2 linked regions of the Lonchura striata genome follow. The protein of the gene in region 2 interacts with the protein of the main gene of each other region in a pairwise test. Links are inferred from orthologs where the notes say so. Each region holds a gene or a part of one and is shown on either strand. Other genes may lie near its edges.

What was found.
Region 1: the proteins of MYBPC3 (region 2) and myosin-7 interact in a two-hybrid assay, tested with the Homo sapiens proteins (2 studies listed by IntAct). The link is inferred for Lonchura striata from reciprocal best matches to the Homo sapiens genes MYBPC3 and MYH7.

Annotation. Positions count from the first base shown.
Region 1 is NC_134603.1:70,135,738-70,139,659, reverse strand, and holds the start of myosin-7, read left to right. Parts: upstream 1-1,110; coding exon 1,111-1,311; intron 1,312-1,738; coding exon 1,739-1,882; intron 1,883-2,247; coding exon 2,248-2,404; intron 2,405-2,525; coding exon 2,526-2,553; intron 2,554-2,781; coding exon 2,782-2,893; intron 2,894-3,290; coding exon 3,291-3,383; intron 3,384-3,507; coding exon 3,508-3,571; intron 3,572-3,767; coding exon 3,768-3,866; intron 3,867-3,922. UniProt on the Homo sapiens protein: Myosins are actin-based motor molecules with ATPase activity essential for muscle contraction. Forms regular bipolar thick filaments that, together with actin thin filaments, constitute the fundamental contractile unit of skeletal and cardiac muscle.
Region 2 is NC_134608.1:39,282,123-39,286,044, forward strand, and holds the start of MYBPC3 (myosin-binding protein C, cardiac-type), read right to left. Parts: upstream 2,581-3,922; 5' UTR 2,448-2,580; coding exon 2,423-2,447; intron 1-2,422. UniProt on the Homo sapiens protein: Thick filament-associated protein located in the crossbridge region of vertebrate striated muscle a bands. In vitro it binds MHC, F-actin and native thin filaments, and modifies the activity of actin-activated myosin ATPase.

The sequences.
Region 1 (3,922 bases), on a different chromosome or scaffold from region 2:
TACTGGGAGGGTCTATAGGGGAACTGGGAGGGACTGGGATTATACTGGGAGGGTCTATAGGGGAACTGGGAGGGACTGGGAGGGACTGGGAGGATCTAGAAAGGAACTGGGAGGGTCTTTGCAGGAGACTGGGATGATACTGGGAGCATGTGTGGGGAAATAGGGTGGGACTGGGATGATGCTGGGAGAGTTTATGTGGTAACTGGAAGGGACTGGGGGATGAGGGAGGGTACTGGGTAAATCCTGGGGGATACTGGGACTTACTGAGCAGTACTCTGTGTATGTGTGTGTGTGTATGTGTCTGTGTGGTGGTGTATTGGAGAAGTACTGGTGGGGCTGGGCTGGGATGCTGGGATGTAATTTGACTTATTGGGATATACTGGGACATACTGGGACATACTGTGTGTGTGCGGGGGGGGGCTGCTGTGTCCCGGAGCAGGACCAGAACTGCCCTGAGTCTGCACTGTCATCCTCTGACTTGGAGACTACTGAAAGAGGTGGGGCTGAGTAGTGGAAGGGCTGAGGGGTGTCTGGGGATACTGGGGGTGACTGGGGGGGTCTGGGATGATACTGGGAGGGTCTAGGGGAACTGGAAAGCACTGAGAGGGATGCAGGAGTACTGGGGAATACTGGGAGGTGCTGGAGTGGGCAGGAAGAGTGAGGCACTGCAAGGAACAGGGAGCACTGGGGAGGGCACTGGGACTTCCAAGAAGGAACTTGGGATGGAGATGAGGACAGGCAGGAACTAGGAGCACTGTAAAGAAACTGGAAGCACTGGAGAAAAATGGGAGAATATGAGATCACCAAGGATGGACTTTGGATGGGGCTGACTGGGAGCACTGGAAGCTTTGAGAGGGAATTCTAGATAATGGAAGCACTGAGGATGGACTTGGGATGGGCCAGCTGGGAGGAGTGGGAGCATTGGAGAGGAACTGGGAGCACTGGGAAGGAATGGAGTTGGGTTGACCAGGAGGAAGTGGTAGATGTGGAGAAGAACAGGGAATTATGGGTTCACCAAGGAAAGAGCTGCAATGGGGTCAGCTGGGAGGAACTGACAGCATTTGGAGGGTCTCATCCTTCCTACCCCACTCAGCCCTGTCCAGCGCCACCATGCCTGATGTGGAGATGGCTGAATTTGGGGAGGCTGCCCCCTATCTCCGCAAGTCGGAGAAGGAACGGTTAGCTGCCCAGACCCGCCCCTTCGACCTGAAGAAGGATATCTTCGTCCCTGATGAAAAGGAGGAGTATGTCAAGGCCACCATTGTCAGCCGTGAGGGCTCCAAGATCACTGCTGAGACCGAACATGGCAAGGTGGGGGGACCCCAGCAACACCTGGGACACCAGAACCTCAAAATAGCAACTCTATTCCACTTGGGACACAAAGAACTAACCCACCTTCTCTAGAATCCAAGAAACATCTAGACCCCAACATGCCTTCTCCAACACCTACTGGATGCTCAGATTCCACAGCACCTTCTCTAGAACCCAGGAAATATTTAGACCCTTATCCACCTTTTCCAGAACCCACTGGACAGCTAGACCCTATCCAACTTCCTCTCTTACCTCAGAGACACCTAGACCCCAAAACATCTTCTTTATCACTTGAGGGACACCTAGACCTTATCTGGCTCTCAAGGGAACACCCAGATGCCCAACTCCCAGCCCTTTAGGAGGGAACAACTGGGGCAACTCCTTGCCCTGTGTTCCTGCTCCATTGGGTCTTCCTTACATTGAGCAGACAGTGACGGTCAAGGAGGACCAGATCATGCAGCAGAACCCTCCTAAATTTGACAAGATTGAGGACATGGCCATGCTGACTTTCCTCCATGAGCCCGCCGTCCTCTACAACCTGAAGGACCGCTACGCATCTTGGATGATCTATGTGAGTTGGGAGCCCATGAGGTCCTTCAGACCCCATCCAGAATTTGGATGCTCCTTTTGTAGACCCCTTGGGCCACATAGGTGCAAGATGACCCTTCTCCAGATCTCATGGCTCACCCATAACTGGGATGATCCTTCTTTACACCTCTTAAGCCACCCAGATCCAAGGTATCCCAGACCCTTTGGGTAGTCAAAACCAGGATGTCTCTTCTTCAGATCACAGAACTGGGACATCCTCTCTTCAGACCACAGGGGTCACCTAAACCCAAGATATTACACAGACACAAGAGGTTGTTTCGGCAGACCCCTTGGACCACCTGGTAGGGTGGCACCTCCTTACTCTGACCCACCTACTCCTTTCTCCAGACTTACTCAGGGCTCTTCTGTGTGACTGTCAACCCCTATAAGTGGTTGCCTGTCTACAATGCCGAGGTGGTGGCTGCCTACCGGGGAAAGAAGCGGAGTGAAGCTCCACCCCACATCTTCTCCATCTCTGACAATGCCTACCAGAATATGCTAACAGGTAGGGACCTTCTGCAGGGACCCCATATTCATCTTCCCTGATCCTTTTTGGGGAGCAGGAGATGTGGGGCATAGCCAAGGTGGGCTTCAGAACCTCATGTTTCTTCTCCTTATCCCACCAGATCGGGAGAACCAATCCATCCTCATCACGTGAGTAGTCTCATCTGTAAACACTGTCTTAATCCTGCTCACAGCTAAGATCCCCCAACCTGGCACATAGCTCCTCCCCTTCCCTCTTGAAATCATGCCCACAGGCCAACCCTTTATCACTGCATGGATTTGCCTGTGGAGGTCCATTATCCATCCCTCCCCAGTGAGTTCCCACCCCCAGCACCATAGCACCAGTATCCAACCATTGCTCTCCTTGGCTACCTTCAGCGGAGAATCCGGGGCGGGGAAGACTGTGAACACCAAGAGGGTCATCCAATACTTTGCCGTTATCGCTGCCATCGGTGACCGTGGCAAGAAGGAGGCAGGGGCCCCGGGCAAGGTAAGGACAGTGAGTGGGGGAATGACACCCAGGGGCTGGCCAAAATTCTGCCACCTGTCTGTCCAACCAACAACACAATCAACCACCCAAACAATTACCCAGCGGAACACCCAAAAATCCAAGCAATCATCCATCCAACCAACCAACCAACCAACCAACCAACCAACCAACCAACCATCTATCCAATCTTCCATTCATCTGTCCCATCACAATCCAACCAACTAACCGTCCCTCCATCCACCCATGGCATCAACTCACATACCTGTCCATCAATCTGACCACACACAAAAACATTCATGGACTGCTGTGCTCTCCCATCCAACCATTTCAACCTCACACCCTACATCCTCTGCCCCTTACTGTGAAAACCCCCCTGACACTGTCCCACTCCTCCCAGGGCACTCTGGAGGACCAGATTATCCAGGCCAACCCTGCCTTGGAAGCCTTTGGCAATGCCAAAACTGTCCGGAATGACAACTCATCCCGATTTGTGAGTGTTGGGGGTGGAGTCTGTGAGGAAGAGTCTGTGAGGTGGAGTGCGTGGGGAAGGATCTGTGGGTTGGGTTGATCTGGGATAAGGTGGCCACCTCCACCTCCTTCCAATACTCTTCCAGGGGAAGTTTATCCGGATCCATTTTGGGGCTACTGGAAAGCTAGCATCAGCTGACATTGAGACCTGTGAGTAGGCTGATGTCCATGAGAGGGAATCTTGTTGTCCACCATCCCTTCTATCTCTCCATCCAACTGTCCATCCTTCTCGTCATGCCACTATCCATCTACCATTACACATCCTCAAACCTTCCTCCATTCATCCATCTGACCCTCCATCTCTTCATCCCAACTTCCACCCATTTTCTGTTCATCCCCACCCCAGACCTCCTAGAGAAGTCCCGTGTCATCTTCCAGTTGAAGGCTGAAAGAAACTACCACATTTACTACCAGATCCTCTCCAATAAGAAGCCAGAGCTGCTGGGTGAGCCATTTTCCCAGCCTATCTGCAAATATCTGATCCTGCATCCCTTTTGGGAC
Region 2 (3,922 bases):
GGTTTTGTTTATTTAGTTTTTGGGTGGTGTTGTTTTGGTTTTATTTTTGTTGTTGTTGTTGTTTGTTTCCTTTTATGTGTTAAAAGCCTTGTAAAAACGGCAGATATAAGCAGAATATTTATGGTCATTCTTTGACATGAAGAAATTTCTTTTGCCTATACACCAGATGCACAAATTTCAGTAATACAGACTAGGGATTTCTTTGGGCTCTTCAGTAATCCAACTATATGATGTGTGAAAGGCAGGAATTGTGATTTATCCAAGTATGAATTGCCCAGTGGTTATTTGGCCCTCCTGAGATGATGCTCAGCATTATCCCATCTTGAAATGGTTTGAACTGTATAAACAACATGAAATAGAAAACCAAAGGGATTAGTGTCTCCTGGGAGACTGAGAAGATCCTCTCTAAAAGTTGTGGGGCATGTGACTGGTTCTGTCTCGGTCAGAGTGAGTAACAAGAGCTTTTCCTCCCCCTGCTGTGATAATCCCAGTGTTTGGTCTAGCTTGCTCATAAGAACTGCGTGGGACTAGTGATGTTAGACACCTGTTAGATTTCTCTGGAGAAATAAGTTGGAATAGAATTTCCCTTCACCATTAGCCAGCAAAAGTGGGCATCTTCACAAACAGAGACACTGCCTCTCACCCACAGAGAATGAAAATATTTATTAAAAGGCAGTTAAACAATTAGAAATCAGAAGTCATAATGCCAAGGTATCACTGTCAAATTTTGCCTACTCTATTGTATTTATTTTTGTCTGCATTCACAACAATGAGACATTTTCAATAAAACCTAAAAGTTGTATGATTTAAAAGCAGAATATGAGTATGATTTTCTCATTTTTGGAGTGATTACTGAACCTTTGCAGCTTATATTTTCACGTTTATGTGTACAATTACAGGATCTAATATATATTTCTTTTTTATATACAAATCTACTTTAATTAGAAATGGTAACCTCATGAACATGAAATGATGTTATATTTGTAATACAATGGAAGGGTTGCTGACATCACTGTTGTTTTAGGGTTATCATACAGAAGGAACACAAAGAATCTTGTTGGAGTTAACCATGCTTTGGTGCTTTGCAGGTTGTAATGGGGGAGACTCTGGGTGTGTAATAGGTCTGCCTCTGGCAGTGGCTGATTTCAAATGTTTTGGTCAAATGAAGGTTCTTAGCAAGTTCTTTTGTTATTGTGACCATAGGAGATTGTCTCACTGGCCAAACTGAGAGGAGACCAATGCCTGCTCAGGCCTTTGCAAAGCACAAAGGCCATTATTAAAAAAACTCCACAGCTGTCACTGGCTAACTCTGGAAACTGCACATGATTAAAAACATGTGCACCTTCTATTGCACATTCAGGTAGTGGCGATTCTGGGTGTGCACTGGCATCAATGAAGTGACAGCTCTAAAGTGGAGAATCCCAGATTTAGTACAAGTTTCTCCAGGCCTGACTATTGAATATGTTTACAATTGACAAACAATCATAAATTCAGATTTTGTCAGCTTTTTTTTCCAAACTTGTGGATGCAAAGTGCTCCTGAGATGTCTTCCTCTGCAGGTGTCCTGAAGTTAAGTGCCTCTTCCTTTTCTTCCCAGGCTCTCTTCCTCATCAAAACAGCAGATCCATTGCACCTTGTACCCTGTTCTAGGCCTCCTCTATGTGGGCAGCATCTGAGTGATTCCTTATTTGAAGATTTTTAATTAAAACATTCATAAATCTGAAATACTTTTCTGGCATTTTTCTATGTGGCCCTGTGACCTTGGTTTCCTGAAAAGGGCGAGTTATCTTCTGGCTCAAGGAGAAAGAATGAAGAAGGGCAAGAGAAAAGAAATTGCATGTATTCTTCACAGTATAAATCAAAAGCCTTTTTTCCCTAGAGTTCTATTCTCAGTCATTGAAATAAACAGAAAGAATAAACTCTGACCAGGAACTGTTTGCTTTCATTTTCACAGAGATTTCATTCACAATAAGCACCATCAATTTTTTTGGCAATATTTCTTCTACAAATTGTCAGGGGAAAAAAACCCAAACCCGAAATAAAAGCAGGAGAGGTTTGTACTATTTACTGTCCAAGAGAGTCAATACAAGCCTTTACTTATTTTTTTTTCTGAGTCCTAAAGGTGACCAGAAAGGAAAGGAGAAATTAAAAGCATTTGAGAATTAAATGCATTTCACCTCTATTTCTTCCTCATCCAAAGTCTCTTGAGAAAATTCTGTGGCTGAGGTTATCAAAGCAGTTAGTGATTTCTTTTCAAGATCACTCAATATCTCTTACATTTATAACTTAATAAAATAAAATTTCCTTTTCCTATCTATTTATTTTTTTCCATTGAGACATCTCATTTCTCTAGAATACATAATCTACTCACACTTTTCCTGTCAAGCTGTTCTTAGTTTTGTCTGCCAGTTACGATCCTTACCTGTTTTCTTTACCGGCTCTGGCATCTTCACTTTGTTTCTGGTGGAGCTCCCAGCTGCATCTAGGAAGCAGGGTATGAATCACACGGGAATGTGACTGCAGGGCTTTTGAGACCCCCTAAAGAAGCACTGGATGGAAGCCCCCATGCTGCTCCTCCCCTCGATCCCCCCCGTTGTCGACTAGGCACCTTATCAGCAGCAGGACACACTTGACAGGCGACATCAGCCGGGCTAAATATAGCCAAGTTCCAGGAGCCAGGGAGCTCAGGCCACCCAGGAGTGGCTACCACGGGTCTGCTGCTATAAACCAGAGCACAGTGTGATGCTGCACGCGTGTGCGGTGCATTTTCTAGCTCCAGGCATGTATTGCCACGTTTATAGCACATGCAGCAAACTAGATCTGATGGCTACATCTCCTGTGTGCTGGTACCTGCTTAGTCTAAGTGTGCATTTGCTTACGTTCTTATTACTTATTTCAGTTTTTGTTTTTATCATAATTGGGTCAGAGCTGAACAGCCCCTCACATACTGGTTTTGTTGTTTCTTTTTTTAGCTCTTCAGCCAAAGACTGTATTTGTAGAACTAACTGTGAACTTTAAGGAAAGAACTTTCTTTTGCAGAGACACTTACACAATACTGACATTTGCAGTCACAAGCAGAAAGCATGACACTACTTATATAGTTTTAGTCCTCCCTTCCTATCCACCCACTTGATCCACAGCATACGTTTCTTGATAACTAGCAAGTTTGTTTTTTTTTTCTTCTTTTAAATATAATTTTTTAAATCATTCCAAGGTTCTATTTTATACCACTAGAAGTTTCAGTTTTGCTTAATCATATAAAAAAGATCTGGGGGAAAATCTCACTAGAAAATTATTCTTGTATGGCCATTTCATGCTCCAATCTTTGCTTTTTACTTATTCATATATTTAGCATATGGCAAAATAGTAACTGTGGACAATCATTCTTTTATTATCATGATGTTTTATCAATTTTGAGTTTTAAGCTTTGCTAGAAAAACTCTGGAGGCTGAACATAGAGCATATTTTAGCCACCACTAGTATTGAAAAAATAATTAAAAAAAAAAAAGGTGTGGTTTTCATTTTTCCTCCAGCTTTACTATCTTGTAGAAAACAAATTTTAAAAGTATTTCCTCTTTTGGCATGAAGTTCAGAATAGACCAGTGTGCAAGCAGCTCATCAGTCACTGTGCTCTGTGTCTGTCTTTCACATCTGACTCCCTCAGTAGGCTGGTAGGACAAATGTGAACGTGCAAGAAACACTTCTGATATCTCTTCTGATTTGAGGCCAAATGCTTCCTCCCCTTTCCCTGAAGCAATTTTTTATGGATGAGTGAGGAAGATGGGCAGGATGTCACCTGTGTTTATTTTCCATTGCCTATGTTTCTAGTGGAGCACAAGTTACCATGATATATATTTGGCGACTGTCTTGTGCCTGAGGTATTTCACTGGGAGTCAGGAAATCTGGGCTATTTGCTTTCACT